Linked DNA regions of Sus scrofa. The protein of the gene in region 2 interacts with the protein of the main gene of each other region in a pairwise test. Links are inferred from orthologs where the notes say so. Each region holds a gene or a part of one and is shown on either strand. Other genes may lie near its edges.

What was found.
Region 1: the proteins of PRKAB2 (region 2) and PIAS2 interact in binary tests that used the Homo sapiens proteins (3 or more experiments, as listed by UniProt). The link is inferred for Sus scrofa from reciprocal best matches to the Homo sapiens genes PRKAB2 and PIAS2.
Region 3: the proteins of PRKAB2 (region 2) and STX19 interact in binary tests that used the Homo sapiens proteins (3 or more experiments, as listed by UniProt). The link is inferred for Sus scrofa from reciprocal best matches to the Homo sapiens genes PRKAB2 and STX19.

The regions. Positions count from the first base shown.
Region 1 is NC_010443.5:96,542,981-96,547,203, forward strand, and holds the start of PIAS2 (E3 SUMO-protein ligase PIAS2), read right to left. Parts: upstream 2,801-4,223; 5' UTR 2,625-2,800; coding exon 2,601-2,624; intron 1-2,600. UniProt on the Homo sapiens protein: Functions as an E3-type small ubiquitin-like modifier (SUMO) ligase, stabilizing the interaction between UBE2I and the substrate, and as a SUMO-tethering factor.
Region 2 is NC_010446.5:100,377,224-100,381,525, reverse strand, and holds the start of PRKAB2 (5'-AMP-activated protein kinase subunit beta-2), read right to left. Parts: upstream 2,983-4,302; 5' UTR 2,957-2,982; coding exon 2,801-2,956; intron 1-2,800. UniProt on the Homo sapiens protein: Non-catalytic subunit of AMP-activated protein kinase (AMPK), an energy sensor protein kinase that plays a key role in regulating cellular energy metabolism.
Region 3 is NC_010455.5:165,857,123-165,861,362, reverse strand, and holds the start of STX19 (syntaxin-19), read right to left. Parts: upstream 2,801-4,240; 5' UTR 2,527-2,800; intron 1-2,526. UniProt on the Homo sapiens protein: Plays a role in endosomal trafficking of the epidermal growth factor receptor (EGFR).

The DNA.
Region 1 (4,223 bases), on a different chromosome or scaffold from region 2:
GACTATTTAGAAAACCCTTGATGTTTCCTCCCCTTTTCCTTTCTAACTAGATTTTTGGTCAGTTGTCCAGCTTTCCCTATAATATTACATGTCACATAAGAAGCATGTTGTTTACTTATCATTCAATTTAGTTCACAGATTCACAAGATGATAAATAGGAGCACACAGTGGACCTGAAGGAAACTGAACAGAGCAGTACACCATAGATGCTGAGGGGTGCTTTCTCTTAAAGCTAGACCTCTGAGATCAAAAATCCCTAGGTCTTCCAGGATCAAGCTGTGTGGTCTAGATCAGGTTATTCAACCCCTCTACGCCTCAATTTTTCATAGAACTGTTGTGCAAACTAAGTACGTATGTAAAGTGCTTAAACCAGAACTAGGCATGTAATAAGCACTTTATTATAATGGCTATCTGCCATCACCATCATCACTCTTTGCAGTGGGGCACAGCGAGAGAGATACAGCACATCTTTTAATATAGAAGATGCTTGGAGTTCCAGTGGTGGCGCAGCAGAAATGAATCCAACTAGAAATCATGAGGTTCAATCCCTGGCCTCGCTCAGTGGGTTAAGGATCCGGCGTTGCCCTGAGCTGCGGTGTAGGCGTTGCCGTGGCTGTGCTGTGGCTCCGATTCGATCCCTAGCCTGGGAACCTCCATATGCAGGGGTGTAGCCCTAAAAGATGGGAGGGGATGCTACTGAGCAGCTAAGGCAAAGACTGGGGTGGATAACCCTTCTGGCATTCGCACAGTCCATACTCTTATCCAATAAATACAAGGAGAAGTAGAGACAGCTGACTTACAGAAAAAGATGATGAAGCTGACTCACAAAACAAAATGGGAGGTGGGAAAGAGAAGGGAGAAGGGAGGGAGAGAGAAAGGGAGAATATATCTTGGTTTCCAAACACTTTCCAGTTCCTGGTTCCACTACAACTTAAGCACTGAGTGCCCTTTCTGGCCTAAACCAACAAATAAATTCTCCACTTTTTATTAAGCTTTGACCAACAACATTTATAAAGTCTAACACAGGTCTTGGAAAAGTTTTCATCAACAAAATAATCTTAGAGGAGGAAAAGTGGTATGCATCTGTTACTACACAGAAATTAAGACGACATTGCAGATAAAAATAAATTTAACTACAAACCAGTATTCTCAACCCACTGTAAACCTAATGCATGAACTTACACAGGTGAGGCTCAGGCCTGGTTGTTTCAAAAGGTCTACAGGTGTTAAAAGCTCTACAGCTGAGGCTAAGACACTAAAACCCTCACATTTATCAATATGAACTCTCTTTACCTACTATCAGGGTCCTCCGTATATAAACTAGTACAGGCATAAAATTCATTAATATGCTTTTCTCTTTACTGAGAATGAAATAATTTTTGAAACAGCAGGCGGGGAAAGGTAGGCATTATTCAAACCGAAACAATTTCCCTTTAGATCAGAACCATGAATACATTCTTTTGCTGATGTACACCATACCAGCCAGGTAACCAGCCAATATCCTTCCACCGCTTCTCATCGCTCTCCTAAAAACAGTCACAAACATAAACTGAATCTTTTACCTGATTCCCCTTTCCTTCTTATTCCGAAAAAGTAACCCTAAAACATGTCTGTATTGTGCAAATTAGTTGTGGTTAACTTAATTTCAAGTTCCTATTCATCTCTTGACACTTTTTTTAAATCAGGGTGTCCGTCCTTAAGTACCCCATTTATGTCGCCAGTAATTCAGCGATCCATAAAAATTCTGGCTCGTTTATGACAGTTTTGTCTCAGTTGAGGACTTTGAAGAAGATTATCAGCCCCAGGAAAAATATCTTTTCCGTTCTAACCCCAACAGCTCATTTCAAACCTCTACTATACAAAGGTATCAACAATAAAGTTATGACCTTGTTCTAGGACTAGGAAGGAAAATTGTTCAAGAGCAAAAAACAAGTTCACAAACAAACCTCATGACAGCACGGACTTCTGCCGATTTCTTACCATAGCACTAAGAAAACAGCAAGGTTTAAGGTCGATTATTGAAGGCAGGGTCCCCAAAAGACCATGCTTCTCTCTATGATGTTGAGGAAGCACTGGTGGGAGGAAGGGGCCTTTCTCGTGACAGATCTGACTGAACGGTAGCATCAGCCATCGATGAGAAAAAATTCCTAAAAGCAACTTCACGTTTCAGAAAACAGCCTCCCACCGAGTAGCCCGTAGACTTAGGAATCACCAGGGACACGTACACCCCTCACGAAGGTGGAAAAGCAAATCCTGCTCCCCACCTCATCCCCTAAAATAAACGGTAAGTCGGGTCCCCAGGAGCGCCTTCCCCAGGGCCCCTGCCCCCGCGTGCAAGGTGTGCGGACCCCTGGCGGGACCCCACTGGCCCGCTTACCCTGGGCCCCAGGCCCGCCGGCCCGGCGCTACGCGGGCGTCCTCCGCCGTCTCTCTCCCCTCCCCCGCCCGCTTGCGCTCTCGCTCCGACGCGGGCCCGGGCCCGGGGCTCCGCCAACCGGTCCCCTCGAAACAAGAAGGTGGCGGCCGGAGACGCTGCGGCTCCCCGGTTTCCCCTCCCCTCCCCCGCGGCCTCCGCACTCCACTCCCGCGCCCCCGCTTACCCTCAACTCCTCGAAATCCGCCATTTTATACCACCCGCGGGCGCCGCCGCCGCTGCCGCCACAGCACCCCCTCCCGCTGCCGCCAACGAAGCCGCCGCCACCACGGCCGCCGCCGCCGCCTCCAGCACCATCCTGCACTGGGCGCCGCTAAAGACGCCGCGGCTGCTGCCGCCGCCGCCGCCGCTGCCGCCGGGCGCGTCACGTGACCTGCGCCGGAGCTCCACCCCCTGCGCAAGCGGCCCCGCCCTCCCGGCGCCCCGCCCACCGGCCCACCGCCTTCCGCCCGGGTCTTCCGCCCGCCTTCCCAGTGAGCTGCGTTAGGCTTGCCTGGATCTTCCCCTTTCCCCCTCAGCGTGTCGGCCTTCCGCAGCCTTTCCGTGCCCCGCCTCAGCGCGTGGATGCTCCTCTTCCCCACGCGAAGGCCCAGCCCGACTACCTGAAGCGCCGTCGCGACTGCAGCATTACCGGCGGGCCTGTAGGAGGGAGTGATGGAGAGAAAGAAGAGGTGTCTTTTCCCACGGTGGCGTGGACTGGGGGAGTACCCACAAATAAAGCCATCCCCCAGAGTAGTTGTGGTGGAACAACCCATGGATGTTGACTAAGCTCTGGTTCTGAGCTAATGGTGCGGGATTGGTGAGACCTCTTTGGGTTGCTAATATCTTCAAAGTACTAACCTGGCTAGTTCTCTCTGACTTTGAAGGGCGACTGAATGTCAAAGACTGCAGAGTCGAGAGGGTTGGGGCAGAGAGGTTGGAGAAGTGAAATAGGAGAGCAACTTGAAAGGCCCTGATAGGAAGTCGAAGGGTCAGGGAAATCAGATAGCTGGGAAAGATGAAATGTCAAAGGCAGAGCGGATGGAAGGAAGTTTCTCACAGCACCCCTGACGTGCTGACAAAGGATGAGAGAAGATGCTGAGGCAAGCTGGTCAAAAAATTCGCTGGACCAAGGACAGAGTTGAAATGTGCTTTGAGAAGTGGCTCCCATTTAAGACACTTAATGTTGATCCCTGGGCCAAGAAGAGTTTCCCACTCTACCTCTTTGCCTAACTCCTAGTCATCCCTCAGGACTCAGTTTTAGTATCATTTCTTCAGGAAGACCTTCCCTAAACCCTCATGCCCCATTTTAATTCAGAGAATCAACAGTATCTAGAATAGGTTCTGATTCTGGTTCTCCACCATTAACGTTATGGTCTTAGGTTGATTTAATCTTGGTTTATTCTCTTTAGGTCTTAACTTCCACCTCAGTGGCATTTTATATTGTTCGACAGACATTAAATGAAGGCTAGGAGCTTTAGGGGAATATAAAGATGAATAGGATAAAATACAGCCCTTCCACCAACCCATAAGAGGTACCAACTCAAACATAAAACCATAAGAGGCAGAGCTGCACGGAAACTGTTTGAAGTGTTCGTTGTAGGATTGGGTAGGTTTGACTGCAAAGAGTTCTGGGTGCTGCCCTACACTGACCTAAGTCAATAATAACTATGCCCCCTTGCTACAGTAATTAGATCAGAACTGTACCTATAAATGCAACTACTGCAGGACATTTCCAGGTCAGTTAGATCAAGTACAGGGTGTGCCTCAAGGTAGGCAAATGATGTAGACCAGTAAGTGTCTGGGACAT
Region 2 (4,302 bases):
GCAGAGGCTAAAATATTTACTATCTGGCCTTTTACAGAAAATATTTGCTGACTCTCACTTTAGATTGGCTTGAATGACTTTGGTAAATAGGTAAATAAGACTGTATGGTATTAAACCAAAATATTACCAGATAAAATGAGTTAAAAAAAAAAAAAACTAGTTTGTTCATATGGGCTTTACATTAAAAATGGCAGAGGTAGTCTACCTTCTGTACTGTCTCTCCATATTCCTCAAAACTACACTACGAGACACCAGTAGCAGCATAAATCCAAAGTAAACAGAGAAAAAGAAGGGACTTCCACGTTATATAAGGAAATGGCTTAGAGAATTTTTTTTTTTTTTTTTTTTTTTGTCTTTTCTAGGGCCCCACCCGCAGCATTTGGAGGTTCCCAGACTAAGGGTCTGATCAGAGCTGTAGCCACCGGCCTACACCACAGCCACAGCAACGTGGGATCTGAGCCGCATCTTTGACCTACACCACAGGTCACAGCAACACCAGATCCTAACCCACTGAGCAAGGCCAGGGATCGAACCTGCAACCTCATGGTTCCTAGTCAGATTCGTTAACCACTGAACCATGACGGGAGCTCCTAAAAAATCTTGATCTCCATTTTCTCAAAGCAATGAGTTCTTGCTTGACAGGCTGCATTAGAATTAGAGAAATTTTTACATATGCCTAAGAATTACAAATGCCTCAGATTCTGATTCAAATATAGGGTCTGGGAGTCTATTCTTAAAAAGCTTTCCAGACAATAACACTGTGATTATGTTAAAAATAAAGAAACCTCATCTCTAGAAATGTATCCTAAAATACTAATAAAGTAATATTTGATATGATAGTCTGGAATTTGCTTCAAAATAATTGGTGAGGGTAGAGTGGATGGGGGTATATAGGTGGTACAAATTCATTCATGATTTGATCATTGTTTAAACTGGATGACAACTATACAGGAGTTCATCACACTGTTCTCCCTGCTTTGAAACATGGACAGTGTTTCAAATTTTCCATGAAGTGTTTAAACAAATTCCAGCCTATTCTAATTGAGAACCAGTAACTAGTCCACTGAAGAGGATGGCCCCACTGCCACTGTTTCTATCATTTACTTGTATGATTTAGTATTTTCAGTTTAGAATTTGAAAGCTACAAACTATTAATATGCTTAGCTTTGGAAGAAAGCCCTTCCACGGATAACGTGACATTTCTGTGGCAGGCATGAGTGCAGCTGACTAGCAGAAAGATTGTTTACTCCAAGTTCAATAGTCAGCAAAATCTTCAGGAAAAGTGGCAAAATAATTACAACTACAATTGAAAAATGTTTAAGTGAAACATTTAGGGAAGAAATAAAGAGAGCACATTGAGTATAAAATCTTAGATTCTGAAGAGACTTTAAGAATTATCTGAATCCATTTTCTTATTTCATGAATAGCAAGACTGAGGTAAGGGAAAGAATGATCCAAATAGACTCCATTTCAAATAGAGCAACCTGCTTTTATTCAGGATGCCAGTTACTGCAGTCACCATTTGACAAATAATACATTACTTAGATCCTGAGTCATCAATGTAGGGAAGTGGGTACAAAGCTTTGAAAGAAAGCTTTGAAGAATTTTGAAGAAGTTCAGATGGCTGAAGAGACAGCCCAAATGTTGAGAAAGAAGTCCCGAAGTGGGAAAAGAAAGGAATGGAGGAGAAACACCGAGAAAACATCTTCACTTCTTTTTGTGATTATGTTCTCAGTTGGTACTTGAAAAAATAAACTGGAGAATCCATATTTCCCACGCTATCAACCTGGCAAATTATTCTCTCTTTAGGAAAGTAAATAAAATAAAACCCCACACTGGTAGGAAGGGATAAGTGACAAGAAACATCAAACAGACCCCCCAGCTGCTCAATCTGTTTTTCTACTTCATTTTATTCTACCTGGAGGAATTAATGTATTTAATGCCAGCAGCTCTAAAAGGGATTAGAAACATTCAGGTGGTAATCACATTGCTGTCAGCTCCAACTTTGCTTTTTGTGGGGTGAATACAAGTTTTCTCCTCCCTGAAACAAGTCCTTGGAATTGAGAACAAGGTCTTCAAGGCTGCTGTGGATTGTTCGTTTTCAGCGGTGGTAACATGATGAAGTACTACTGGGAAGTGGAGAAATTCTGGAATTAACCTGCTCTGGCTCTTGAGTAGCGGCTGGAAGAAAGAAGCAGCTCAGCCACCATAACTATAAAGTATGAGATGAAAATGAGCAGTCCACCAAATGATGTCCTTTGTTGACCCCCACTAGGAGAAATTATTCAAATAAGCACGTGGTTGCCACTCACAGCCATGCCAAAGGGGAAAAGGGATCTGAAATGCTGAGCTCTCAGAAGAGCAAAGATGATACTCAGACAGAGAAGCTGTCAGGAAACAGAAATTCATTTGCCCACCTCAGGGCAGATGAGAGAAACGGCCACCTAAATGTGGCCCTCAGGTAATCCACCCTCCCCAAGGCCCACAACCTACAAATTCATCGATACCCTAGCAAAGGGTACCCGTGTCTGTTGGGAGAACCAAGAGTTAGGTCTGTTGTCCTCATCCGAAAATGCGGCCAGCAGAGGAGTCGCCTAACAAGAACTCCACCTCCGGGCTATTTTGAGGCAGCGCGGCGAAAGGAATGATCATTCAACATCGCAGTCCCCGAGAGAGCCTTTAGTTCCCAAAACCATAACTCAGGTCAGTGTGATAAGAAAGAAATCCCCAAACGGAGGAGGAGCCCCGACACCCACCCTGCTGCAGCCTCGCCCCCCGCTGGGGGCGTGGGAGCGCTCACCTTGGAGTCGGGCAGGCTGAAGAGGCTGGGGTCGTCGGTGCTCCCCACCATGATCTTATGCTCCTTGCCCGGGGCATGGCCGCCCGCGCCGTCAGCGCGAGCAGCCTTGGCGCCGTGGCGCTCCCCGGCCACCCGCTCGCTGGCGGTGTTTCCCATGGCTGCAGCTCGGAGTCGGGGGCCACCTGCCGTGCGGAACACAAGGCTAGGAACACCCCGGCGGCTGCGTCAGGAGCACCCCCGGCCCCGCCCCTGTGCCTGGGGACCCGGGCAAGGGAATCCCCGCCCCAGGGAGGCCGTGCCCGGGGGACAACCTCCCCCTCCCCGGCCTCCAGAAGCGCCCGGAACCCCCAAACCCCCTGGTTGCCGGCGGCTCAGGAAACTCGCTTTCGGGAACTCCCCCTCATCCCTGCGCTCACAGTCCAGGGGCGCCCGCCCCCGCCCAGTCACCTCCTGTAAATTCTCCCTCCTCCCGAGGCCAATGGTGCGATGGCTGTTCCGCTGAGAAGCCACCAATAAAGTTATTGAAATTGAAGCCGCGCCCGGGGCTAGCGAGCCGCGGTTCCTCCTAAAATGGCCACGAGGCCAGCGGCGCGGTGCCCGCCTAGCGCGCACTCCCTGTGGCCGTACCACCGCGGCGCCCGGGGCCCGCCGGCCTCTCTAGCCACCGCCGGCTCGATGGTGGGCAGCGGCGCGCAGCCTCCAGGGCCACGCGGGGGCGCCCGCTCCGCAGTCCGCGGCACGCAGGGCTGAGATCGCTTCACTGGCGAGGCTGTGCTGAGACTCGGTTGGTTGAGCCCCAGGGCCTGCCCTCCGGAGGGGGTGGTCCCCGAGTGACTCCAGGGCTCCGTACCCAGAGGAGCGACTTTGCCTTTCTTTCTTATGTTGTCTTTCTGGGGGGCTTCCCTGAGAGGTGGGTTTCTACAGGAATCAAGAAAGCGGGCTTCCAACAGAAGGCTGAGGAAGTAGTGGTAATTGCTAAGTGCTGTGGGAAGCAGTCAGCTGGACTGGAGCCGCGGGGAAGGAGGAGTGATGAGGAGATAAATCTTGACAAATGGTTAAACTTCGTCTAAGGAGAAGGAGAAAGCCCTGCAAGGCTAAGAAACAGCACTTGGTATGAGCAACCCCTGAAGAAATGAAATTCAAGAAAGAATGGAAACATCAGAAAGAACATTAAGGCAGAAACGGGCAGCGACAGGCCTCAGGTTGTGACTCATTCACGTTTTGAGTGATAGTTAATGAGATTGCTATGGGATTTACTCATTCTTCCTTTGTGTTATTAGACGCACGCATGTTTCATGACCTACTGGAAGCTCTTGTCACTCAGCCTGTGTTCTAGTGAGGAGCAGCATGGGCGTCACCTGGGAGCTTGTTAGACATCCTGAATCTGAGGCCTCATCCTACAGGATCAGAATGTGCATTTTAAACAAGATCCCCAGGGGAATGTGTGTGTGCATTAAAGTGTAAGAACCCCTGCTTTGACAGCTGGCAGAGAGCAACTCTAG
Region 3 (4,240 bases), on a different chromosome or scaffold from region 2:
TGGAATTAGCTTTAATTTCTGTTCTGAATGTGTTCACTCTTCACTTCTGGCACCTGGAAATTTCGCTTTCTTACTCTAAATGTAATAAGGTAGTTTTAAGATTGGTCCTTTTTCCCCCTTAAGATTATATCAAACACGTCTCGCATTTCTAGCGAGAGAGAGAGAGAGAGAGAGAGAGAGAGAGAGAGAGAGAGAGGAATTTCTTTATCTGTGCATCCTCATTGAAAGTCATAGGTGATTATCTTTACGGAGTTTACAATTCAGAATGTTCCCTAACTCCTTATATTCATTAAGGAATTGACGTAATGTAGGTACTCTGGTAACACTTACATGCTATACATAAATTGCATTTTCCAGTAGTTGTATACTCATTACTGCACGTATAACTATTTCCAATTTAATTGTTTAATCTTATGTCTTCATAAATTATAAGCAAAGTGAGATATATGAGCATATTAGAATTTAAAAATTGGAAGAGACAAAGTTCATGAAGGCATGAAATATTAAGTTCATAGTTGTAAAATCATTTGATTGCTTAGGTAAGAGAAATTGATGAGACTACCATTTTATGCAATCTTTTCGGTACATGAAAGTTATTTTCTTAATATCAGAAAAGATCAAATATGAGTCATCTTTCAGCATGTTTAACTTACTGCTTTGCTATATGTTTTGTTTTGTTTTTTTCTTTTTAGGGCTGTACCCGAGGCATATGGAAGTTCCCAGGCTAGGGGTCCAATGGGAGCTGTAGCCGCTGGCTATACTGGCTACACCACAGCCATAGCAATGCGGGATCCCAGCCATGTCTGCAACCTACAACATAGCTCATAGCAATGCCAGATCCTTAACCCATTGATCCATGCTGGGGATTGAACCCACGTCCTTACGGATGCTAGTTGGGTTCGTTAACCACTGAGCCACAATGGGAACTCCTGCTATATGGTTTTGAATTCTGTTAATAGCTGACTATATCTTTGAGCTTTAACATGATATTTGCAAAAAGAAAGAACACTGATTTATAGATATGATAATCAAGCTTGACAATTTGTTCTGAGAAATACCAAAGTAAACTTGTATGACTCAAATAAAAGTTTCTCCACCCTATTACAGACAGGGAACATTTCTAGGAACAGAAATATGAATTAAAATTATCTAGTGCTTTAAAAAATATGCCCTGGGATAGGTATTTTATAGATTGATATTTTAAAGAAATTTCTTTTTATAGTTACTATGTAGATTAAATATTTCAAGAAATGTAGCCAGTTTTTATTTAACATAAAATGGAATATTCTTTTGCTTTTGTGTATGAAGACAGCTTTCAACATTTCCATAATTCAAGGTGAAATTAGCAGTTACTGGAATATTCACCTTTTTAGCCACTTAAATGAGGAAAACTAAAAAAAACTACTGCAAATTATGTAAATTCTAAGTTTAAATTATATGACTTTTTTTTAATAATTCAGCCTTTCATTTCTTTTTAAATTCTTTTTACTTAGGGTAATTAAGTTAACCATTAGATTAACTTGTTTAATGTAACAATAAGACCATTTTTGTTTAAATATTAAGACTCATAATTCTGAACACTCAATTCTCTGATTAAAGTAAGCTGTACAGATATAAAATGATATGTATATTAAATTTAAACCTGTATAGCCACAAAGACAATTTGTTGTAGATATTACATAGCCAACTTTCAAGTCTACCCTTAAAATATTTATTAATTGTAATTCTTATTTTAATTTGAATTGGGTTATATGTTAAAATCTAACATGATAACAATTGTGAAATAACTTGGAAGACATAAAAAACAAACATGTTTTGGTTAAGCCTTTATATATTGATTAATTTTGAAAGTGTATGTGTTTCATTTAAATGATGCTGACTTAAATTTTTTAAATTATCAAATCAAATATAAAGTGTGTATTCATTTTTATAATTTAAATACTTGAAATACATTAGCTGAAACATTTAAAAGTGAGTACTTTGATATTTTATTTTACAGTAGTCCTTTTACAAAAGATTATTTTTTAAGTTCCTCAGATTAATTTTAAAGAACCTGGAAAACAACAATGAAGAAATTAATTAAGATCTTTTAGAAAATTATCTCAAATTTTTAGAGGTTACACATATGTGTCAAACTGGGCATAAACTTTTCAGAATTAAATGGAAAAGTGTTCTGTAAAGCAAGCACAGTATGACTAATTTATATAGTCTGTTTATAGAGGAAAGAATTTTAAGTTTGTTATTGTAGCATCTAACTTTGTTGTGTTTCCAAAATGAAAAGATACTTTTTAAAAGAAACTTAAAATAAAAAGTTGATTTTTATTATAGTGGTCTATTTCCAGGAACTCTAAACCCAAATCTCATTCAGCATATCAGTAGTATATATGAACAGATCAGCCACATGTAGCCTGGTCCAAATCTGAGCAAAACAATAACTTTAATTATCTGTTGAGCTCTCTTTATGTCACAGATTTCAGTCCCTGGATGTCTCACAGTTAAAAGTACAAAAAAGAATGGTTTGTTTACCTTTGTCTTGTTCCTCTTGTTGCTTTTCCACTTACGCAGTTGGAGTCCTGCCTTTGAGAGAAAACCTGAGTATCATCTGTAACATTAATGTTTTATTAAGATTATTTAAATCTCTGTCTTCTAGTTCACAGGCTAATTTCTGTATGATTTTCATTTAGGTAACTTAATTGAAAGCCACATGTTGAAGTCAAATAAGTTAAAGTCGTCCTTTTGCTGTTAATATCAAATGAGAACAAATTGCTTACCTCACACCTGGAGAATCTGGTTCTGCTTGTTAGCTGCTTATTCTTTAGATTAAACAAAGATTGTTTTCCTTGGAGCTAGTTGGTAGCAGGCAGTCCTTATTAAGCTGCTTGCAATGGAATACTTAGCACAGGCTCTGTAATTTCAATCCTATAATATATATATAATACATTACTCACAAAAAAAGAGTGTTCATAATTTTTTTTCTTTAGGTATGAAAACTTTGGAACAAATAGGAATGGAAAGAACCTTGGGCAAAGGCTTTTTGCTTAATTTACTTTAAAATGATTGAATTCTACTCTATTTTAGGGAATTCCAAGGGCTTAAAAAATTACCTCAAAAAATTACCAAATTTCAGAACTACAACAGCCAGAAAAGAGTTCATGTCTGTAAACCTTCTACCTTATCTTTTCTTTTTACTATGTGTGCTGTTTTTATTAATTTTTTTAATTTTCTTTTGATTCTTTCATAGTTTTCCATATGGAAAATATTGTGCATTGCTGTATATAAGTTATGCTGTTTATTACATTAATGTAACAATTCAGAATTCATTCTTTGTAGGGAAAATCGGAAATGAAATTTCTCTGTGCTACTACATTTTCTTCCATTTCTTTTTCTCTGCCTGACTTGTTATGATTTGAGGGTAAGAGGAGGGACATCGCTATAATATCTATATCTAATATCTGTTTAGCAGTCCAACTTCCTGGAGTCTGTTCCCAGAATAAGAAGTAACATCTTCACACACTATTCCTCACAGCATTCTTTGTAAAAGCAAAACACTGGAAAAAACCCATGAGTATTCCAATGTAATCCTTCAGTGGCCGATAAATGATGAAACATCCAGGGAGTTCCCTTGTGGTTAAGGATTTGGTGGTATCACTTTAGTGGCTTAGGTTACTGCTGTGGCATGGGTTCAATCCCTAGCCCAGGGCACAGCCAAAAAAAAAAAAAAAAAAAAAAATTGAGGAAACATCCATACAATGAGCATTTGGCTTATTGATAAAGAATATAGTAATAAAGAAGATTTCTTTGTACTGGTTCAGAGTAATTTTAGGATTTACTTTTTAAAAAAAAGCATGATGATGCACAGGAGTATATATAGTATACTAGTTTTTGAGGAAGAAAGAGGGGGTAGAGGTACACACACATTGATAACCCCTAACCAGTCAACAACAGTAAATATCCATAGTGCCCAAATCATAGTCTTTAACATACCATTCCCCCCATGTATATGTTTATATTATTTAACAAAAAAACAGTGGGAGGAAGAATTAAAAACTAATGAAAGGAAACCCTCTTATACTGTTGGTGGGAATGTGAATTGGTGCAGTCATTATGGAGAACACACACACACACAAAATGGAATGTTACTCAGTACCCAAACTGTAGCCTTTAAAATACCAATTCCTACTGAAAGGAACCAAGGCTTCTTAGGGAAATGGATGAGTCCAGGGCTGGGCCATTGTTTATT